Callithrix jacchus: one gene and its partner. Each later gene encodes a partner of the first gene's protein in a complex. Links are inferred from orthologs where the notes say so. Each region holds a gene or a part of one and is shown on either strand. Other genes may lie near its edges.

Region 1 (3,813 bases):
TATCTCTTCTTCTGCTTGAACAATTCGAGTGTTTAAACCTGTGCATACTTCTCGGAGTTCCTGTATTGTATTCTTCAGTTCCATTAATTCACTCATACTCCTCTCTAAGTTGTCTATTCTCAATAGGATTTCATCAAACCTTTTTTCAAAGTTCCTAGTTTCTTTACGTTGGGCTACAACATGTTCTTTTAACTCACCGAAGTTTGTTATTATCCATTCCTTGAAGAGTGATTCTGTCATCAGGAGGCGCTCATTCTCCATCAAGCCTTGTTCCATTGTTGATGTGGAACTGTGATCATCTTTAGAGGGAGAGGCATTCTGACTTTGAGTATTCTCAGCTTTTTTACGCTGGTTTCTTCCCATCGTTGTAAATTTATCCTCCTGTCGTCTTTGAAATTACCAACTTTCAGATTAGGTCTCTTGAGTGGACGTCCAGGTTGTTAGTTCCCAGGGCCAGAGCAGCGGCGTTAATACTGATGGTGCTTTTCTGCCCAGGATTCTCCTGTCTGGCTTCCTTCTTGTTTCTGTAGTAGGCGACTCTGCCTTCCCAGGACTCCAAACCTTGGTCAGAAGGGGAACCCGTCCCGTTTACTCTGCGCTGAGCGCTGCCGCACCGAGGTGCCGTCACAGCCGCTGCGCCGGGCTCTGGTATTGTGCTGGGGGCCGTGCGGGTCCTCCAAATGTGTTTACTCTGCTCCGAGAGCTGCCACACCGAGGTGCGGGCGGAACCGCTGCGCCGGCCACGAGAGTCACGCTGGCGACCCGTGTGTTTCCTCCACTGGGGGATCTTCTGCTCCGTGAGCAACCAGACTTTGTCTGAAAGTGTGGCGTCCTCTAGTTCTCCGCGTCTTCCCTGAGAGCTGCAATCTCGGGATGTTAGCGATCGGCCATCTTGGATCGTTCCGCAAAAGAATTTACTTTCTACTTATCGGACTATTTAAATTTAATTGTACAATGCCAGCCTGGCCAATGTGGTGAAACTCCGTCTCTACCAAAAATACAAAAATTAGCCAGGCATGGTGGCGCATGCCTGCACTTCCAGCTACTCGGGGAGCTGACGTGGGAGGATCACTTGAACTCAAGAGGCAGCGGTTGCAGTGAGCCAAAATTGCACCATTGCACTCCAGCTTGGGCAACAGAGCGAGACTCCGTCTCAAAAATAATAATAATTGTAGAATGATTCTTGAAGAATTCCTGGGGGAAACATGATTGATATTTCTTTGAAATATTACAGTTTATATCTCTACCTCCTTATCAATTCAGTTCTCATCCAGATTGTGCTAGAAATATGCCAAAAATCACTGAAATATTTTCAGTGTGCGAATAGTTGTGCTTCTTCTAAATGGTGTTAAATTCAATTGTTGCACAGTCAGTAAAAGAATCTTTTTACAAGTCTTCAGTAATGAGGCTGTCCCCTCTTCTAATTGTATGCTTTTGCATCAAACCAGATGGTGTATTGAATAAATGGTCTCCCTTGCTTCTCAGGTTATGGTGGAGAATTCAGACTTCACCCCCTCACAAGTAGGATGTCTCTTTACCTTCCTTGCTCGGCAGCTTGCAAAGCCTGACAACACCTTGTTTGTAAACAGAACACTTTTTGATCAGGTAAGTGTCTAGCAGTGAAAACGAAAAGCTTTTTTTCTGTTTATTGTGCACAGTTCCCTGGATTACACTGTTGCTTGATGTGACAGACTTGGGTAAATGTCTTATCAAGGAGAGGCCTGTTCAGGCTTTGGATCTAAATTAGGGGTGTGTGTGTATATGGGTGGATGGGTGTGTTTGTGGAGATTGGTTTATAGAGCTTGTGTTCTTCAAATTATTCTGTTGTTCTGAATTGCCTGGAATTCTTTGCTCAAGAGTTTTCCAATTTAAGAATCTCCCGCATCTCTCCGGTAGTGAGACTATTAGGCCCATCATCTGGAGAAGAGATTATTTTATAAAATCTCAATTTACCTACAAATGACTTTGCAGGCGTCTTGTAAGCCCACTTAAATAGCTCCTATGTTTCCACAGGTGGCAAAGAAGACACTTTTTGTCTGGAGAAAGTATCTAAAGATGACTAGCATTTTCTGAGCACTTCAGAATGGCAGACGTTGTTCCAAAGCTTTATGTGTGTGTGTTACCTTAGTCCTCTCAACAGCTCGAAAACAGGGGCAGTTATCTCCTGTTATAGATGAGGAAGGGAAGGCCTGGAGAGATTGAGTCATTCATCTAAGGTCATACTTAGTAAGTGTTGTTATTAGCAGCAAATACTAAGTCTTAATAGGGTTAGTATCCAAATTCAGGTGGCCTGACTCCTAAGTCCATGCTTTGCTAGGTTCGTGATATCTTATCAGGAAACTTAAGGGGTGTGTGTGTTCGTGTGTGCGTGCGTGCATGCATGTGTGTGTGTCTGTATAGACAACACTTCCTTATATCTGTGTTTCTTATAGCTATATTTCTTTTGTCTCTCTCTCTCTCTTTTATTTTTTGGTCACCCAGGCTCTAGTACAGTGGCGCAATCTCAGCTCACTGCAACCTCTGCCTCCCAGGTTCAAGTGGTTCTTTTGCCTCAGCCTCCAGAGTAGCTGGGATTACAGGTGCATGCCACCACACCCGGCTAATTTCTTGTATTTTTAGTAGAGACGTGGTTTCACCATGTTGGCCAGGTTGGTCTTGAACTCCTGACCTCAAGTGATCCACCCTCCTCGGCCTCCAGAAGTGCTGGGATTGCAGGTGTGAACCAGTGCGCCCAGCCTCTTACAGTTATGTTTCTAAAGAGTAAAGAGATAAGTATGTAAGGCACATATTAAATCGTTGGCATACCTGAGCCTGATGTTATGTGTACTAGGCTAATCAGCTGCGAAGGTACTCTGCACCTGTGGTCTTTGGCTGAGTGTGAATGGGTTGGTTATTTGAAAGGGTGGTTATTATTTTTATTATGAGAGTACTGATGTCTGCATGCTTTACTCTTTCTTTGGCCAGGTCCTTGAATTCCTTTGTAGTCCTGACGATGATTCCCGACATTCTGAAAGACAGCAGGTTTGAACCACTAGAACTCTTTTTGCTTTAAATAGGAAACAAGAGTAAACCAGAAGGACCTCTTCTGTGCTAGACCTCACTACACGTAAGGGGCAGTGACTTGTGCCAAACTCTAACACGAAGGTAAAGTCATGGGGACCAGATAATAGAGTGGTTGGTTGTTAGAGGTACATGTATTAGGAGCTTATATCAAACTCAATTCCTAGAGCTGTCTTGCACCTACCGTGACATCAAAGAAACGACTTCATCTTTCCTTATTACATAGCAACAGTTAGGACTTCTTGTACCCTGCATTCCATTGGCTGCTGCGGTCCTGACACAAAAAAGCTGCAGGCTCCTGAGCATTGACATACCTAACTCTTAAGAGTGCCCTAAAACCCCACCTCATCAGGGCTGGCCATTCTGGACACTAGAATCCATCTGTCCCTCCACTCATTATTGCGAGATGGCAACTGTTTGATGACCACTTTCTATTCGTGCCACTTTCTTGAGGTTCCCTTCAGGAGTAGGGTTCTTTAAAAAGCATACCTGCCATCATTGTGGGCACTGAGAGAGTCAACCCATTTTGTATTGATAGCCAGATTTTGTCAGGTGAATAAACAGACAGTAAAATCAGTAAAATTACGTACTATGGGAGCCGTGCTGAAGGACGTGCTGAAGCACTATGCTAATTGTACACAGCTGGGAAGTTGAGGCTCTCAGATAGCAACAGTGACCCCTTTGTCTGCACAGCTGTGCCCCAGTGGCGGCTGCAGAGTATCCTAGGAAGAAGAACAGCTGGTAAAGTTTTGG
Region 2 (3,813 bases), on another chromosome or scaffold:
CTATTTATAGAAGCCTGCTGGAGTTCTTCACCTAGCCATACCTGGGATTCTGGGGATGTTCCCAGAGCCCCTAGGTACATGGACATGATTCTTTCTCTGTGGTGCCTTTTGAACCTCCCTCTGCACTTCGCCCAGCTCTGTCCCATAGTTTCTGTGAAGATGAGCGCCCATAAATGAGTGTGAAGATGTTTTAGGGGTAGGGCAGATATGTGAGTGTGTGTTCTAGCTTACATTGCAGACTGTCTTTTGGCAGAGGTGAACAGGTTACCCATATCTGAGGACAGAAGACAGCATTGTTTAATCTCTTGGTGCCCAACTTGGGAAATAAACACCTGAAGCAGGCAGGTAGTTTGAGAGAGGAATGGGAGCTGATCCACACTGGGAGGGAATCATAGTGTTTATGATGAGATCCAAAAGTTTGAGTGTTGGGTGCCAGCTGTCAGCATTTTATATGAACTGATTTACTTAATTCTGCAATGGTCCTGTGAAAGCAGGTACCGTTATTATGCTCATTTCACAGATGAGGCAATTGAGACTGGAATAGCCAAGTGTCCTTCAGGCTGCTGTAACAAACTCCCATATGTTAGGTAATTAATAGGCAATAGAAATGTATTGTTTGCGGTTCTGGAAGCTGGGAAGTCCAAGATTGAAGCATGGCAGGCTCAGTGTTTGGAGAGGGCCCATCCCTCAGGGGTGGTGCCTTCCAGCTGCCTTTTCACACAGTGGAAGGGACAGATAAGCTCTCTGGGGCCTCTTTGATAAGGGCACTGATGCCATTCATAAGGGCTCCACCCTCATGACCTAATCACCTCCCAGATGCCTCGCCTCCCAGCACCTCTGTGGATTAAGTTTCAACATATGAATTTTAGGGGGGAAACAAACATTCTGACCATAACATCAAGTAATTTGCTCAAGTGATGGGAAAAAAACAGGAAGGACTGATGTGTCCACAGACAACCCTCCTCCTCAGTCCTGGGTGCCCTCCCTCCTAGGGAGGGGGCCTAGGGAAGGGGCTGGAGTCTCACTCATGTATAGCTGTCATTGCCCCCATGGATGGGGGCAGACAAGAAATTGTAGAGTTCCAAAATTTTCAAGTTGAAAGGCACTAAAGAAGTGCTCTGATTCCTTCCCTTCCCTGATGCGTGAACCTTTCTTGAATATTTCTGAGAGGTCTTACCCCCTATGCTGGAATGCCTCCAAGTATTAGGAACTTAAGCTCTCCTGAAGCAGTACTGTTCCATGTTCGGAGAGCTTGAAGTGAGGAAGTGATAGTAGTAGGGAACCTTTCACTTCAAACTCTCTGAACATGGAGCAGTGCTGACGCAAGCCCAGCCAGCTGCCCTGCAGTGCCCGTCATTCTCTGCAGTCCTCTTTCCAGCTCTCTGATCCCCTGCCCTGCTCCCGATCATAGGGATGGTGCCTTTGAGTTTGCTTCTGGTCGCCTGAGAAGTCAGGAAAGGCCACCTTACCTGGTCTTCTCCCTCTGACTTTGTGGAGTGTGAAAGCACAGTTCTCGCAGAGATGAAGTAGGAGGCCACAGGCTAATGTGGAAATGGAAAGTCTTGCTTCCAGTGGGAGCCAGGGACCAGTCCACACATCCACTAAATAGCTCCACTTACCACCTGAAAGCCTTTTGAGATCTGAGGCACACCTTTACTCTCCACATGAACGTTTACTCCGGAGCGGGGGCTGATGTGTCTGCCTTTTTGGAAAGAACACAAAGGTAACCAAAGGCTGGCTCCTGCCTTGGTGTCCCTGGCAGGATCCTGCGACTCTGGTTGTGTTCATTGACTAAAGCGCATATTCAAGCAGCTGTAGAAACTCAGGGAAGATCAGTGAGGATCATTTCTGCCTTTTTCAGAAATCCCTTTTTTTTTTTCAAATGGGGTCTCATTATATTGCCCAGGCTGGCCTGCAACCCCTGGGGTCAAGCCATCCTCTTGCCGCACAGAAATCCTTTTGTTACGTTGTCTGTGGGTGAATGCATGCATTTGTCTTCTGCCTGCAAGTGTGTCTCCCAGGAGCAATGTGAGGAGGCTCCAGGCGACTCCGTGTGGGGACTGAGCAGGATGGCACATGATCACAAGCACATGCATGTGTGTGTATGGGTGTGTGCGTGTATGCTTTTTTGCTGGGGTCTCTTGCTGTCTGATGGGGGAGATCCGTGGGGAAAAAGTTTCTTTCTATTTTTTGATAGCGTGGAATGATTTTCTTTAATGAAAATTATAACTGGGGAATCCACATATCATTATTTCAACCTCTGTTTCTGCTTTTTCTTTGTTCCTCTAAAAGTAGTTTTTCTCTTTCTCTTCCAGCAGATCAGCCAGTAGACATGATGAACATCAAAGCCTTTACGCTTGTCTCTGCCGTGGAGTGGGAGCTGCTGGTGGGCGACAAGGAGCGTGTCAACATTGAGTGTGTAGAGTGCTGCGGCAGGGACCTCTACGTGGGCACCAACGACTGCTTTGTCTACCACTTCCTGTTGGAGGAGAGGCCAGTGCCTGCCGGGCCGGCCACGTTCACTGCCACGAAACAGCTGCACAGGCACCTGGGCTTCAAGAAGCCTGTGAGTGAGCTGCGCGCAGCCTCAGCACTCAACAGGCTGCTGGTGCTGTGTGACAACTCCATCAGCCTGGTCCACATGCTGAACCTCGAGCCAGTGCCCTCGGGAGCCCGCATCAAGGGGGCGGTCACGTTTGCACTGAATGAGAACCCTGTGACTGGGGACCCATTCTGTGTGGAAGTTTGTATCATCTCTGTCAAACGCAGAACCATCCAGATGTTTCTGGTGTACGAGGACCGGGTGCAGATCGTCAAGGAGGTGTCAACCTCTGAGCAGCCCCTCGCTGTAGCTGTGGACGGCCACTTCCTGTGTCTGGCTCTGACCACTCAGTACATCATCCACAACTACAGCACAGGTGTCTCCCAGGACCTGTTTCCCTACTGCAGCGAGGAGAGGCCGCCAATTGTCAAGAGGATAGGGAGACAGGAGTTCCTACTGGCGGGCCCCGGAGGGCTGGGTGAGGAAGATGTGTTTGTGCTCCTGGTCTTTTTGGGTGGCCTCTGTGATTGCATGTTGAAACCAGAGAGTGAGATTGGCGCTGTGCAGAATAAGTCCTCAGCAACATTGGGCGTGTGTGGCAAGACAGAGGCAGGAGTGCCTGACCAGTGCTTGATGAAATCCAGTTCGATCGTTTTGTGGACATGGGGTTAGAATCATCAAACCAGTTTCTTTTCACAGTGAAGTGGAGCTTGAAAACGGCTCTGGTGGTGTTACCGGGAACAGGACATTCTCAGCTCTTTGTCATCTTGGAAGAAAGACTTTGGCCAAGAGGCAATTCAGGGATAGCAGAGAGCTTTACTGAAGGGAAGTAGAGAGCAGAGAGTTTATGTGGAGAGAGACGGTACATTCTGAAAGATAAGGCACTCTAGGATGCTGAGAGTGAGCCAGCAACCCTGAGAGTTCTGCATCAGGTTTTTATGATGCTGGATATTTTCTTGAAGTTCCCACCTGTCTTAAGTTTCTGCCTTTTTTCTTTGGTTTTCCTGCTTCTACCTTAAATCCCTGCCTTTTCCTCCTACCTAGTTTCTACCCTAAGCTTGTGGGACCCTCAAGCTTATTAGTTGGTGCCCATGTGCAGCCAGTGGTGGATGTGAATCCTACCTAATGGCTGCATTGCTCTTCCACCCCAGGAAGGTTGTACAGTGGTCAGCTCCATACTTACTGCACCTGTGTGTCACTTCAGAATTTCTCCTTTATCCACTTCCCTCCTCTCTGCTCATATCTAGCATGCATTTATTTTTTTTTTGAGA

The links.
Region 2: VPS8 (region 1) and TGFBRAP1 share a complex: the UniProt entries of both Homo sapiens proteins name them as parts of the putative class C core vacuole/endosome tethering (CORVET) complex. The link is inferred for Callithrix jacchus from reciprocal best matches to the Homo sapiens genes VPS8 and TGFBRAP1.

What each region holds. Positions count from the first base shown.
Region 1 is NC_133516.1:13,873,409-13,877,221, forward strand, and holds part of VPS8 (vacuolar protein sorting-associated protein 8 homolog), read left to right. Parts: intron 1-1,485; coding exon 1,486-1,605; intron 1,606-2,964; coding exon 2,965-3,021; intron 3,022-3,813. UniProt on the Homo sapiens protein: Plays a role in vesicle-mediated protein trafficking of the endocytic membrane transport pathway.
Region 2 is NC_133515.1:15,383,947-15,387,759, reverse strand, and holds part of TGFBRAP1 (transforming growth factor-beta receptor-associated protein 1), read left to right. Parts: intron 1-2,315; 5' UTR 2,316-2,332; coding exon 2,333-3,020; intron 3,021-3,813. UniProt on the Homo sapiens protein: Plays a role in the TGF-beta/activin signaling pathway. It associates with inactive heteromeric TGF-beta and activin receptor complexes, mainly through the type II receptor, and is released upon activation of signaling.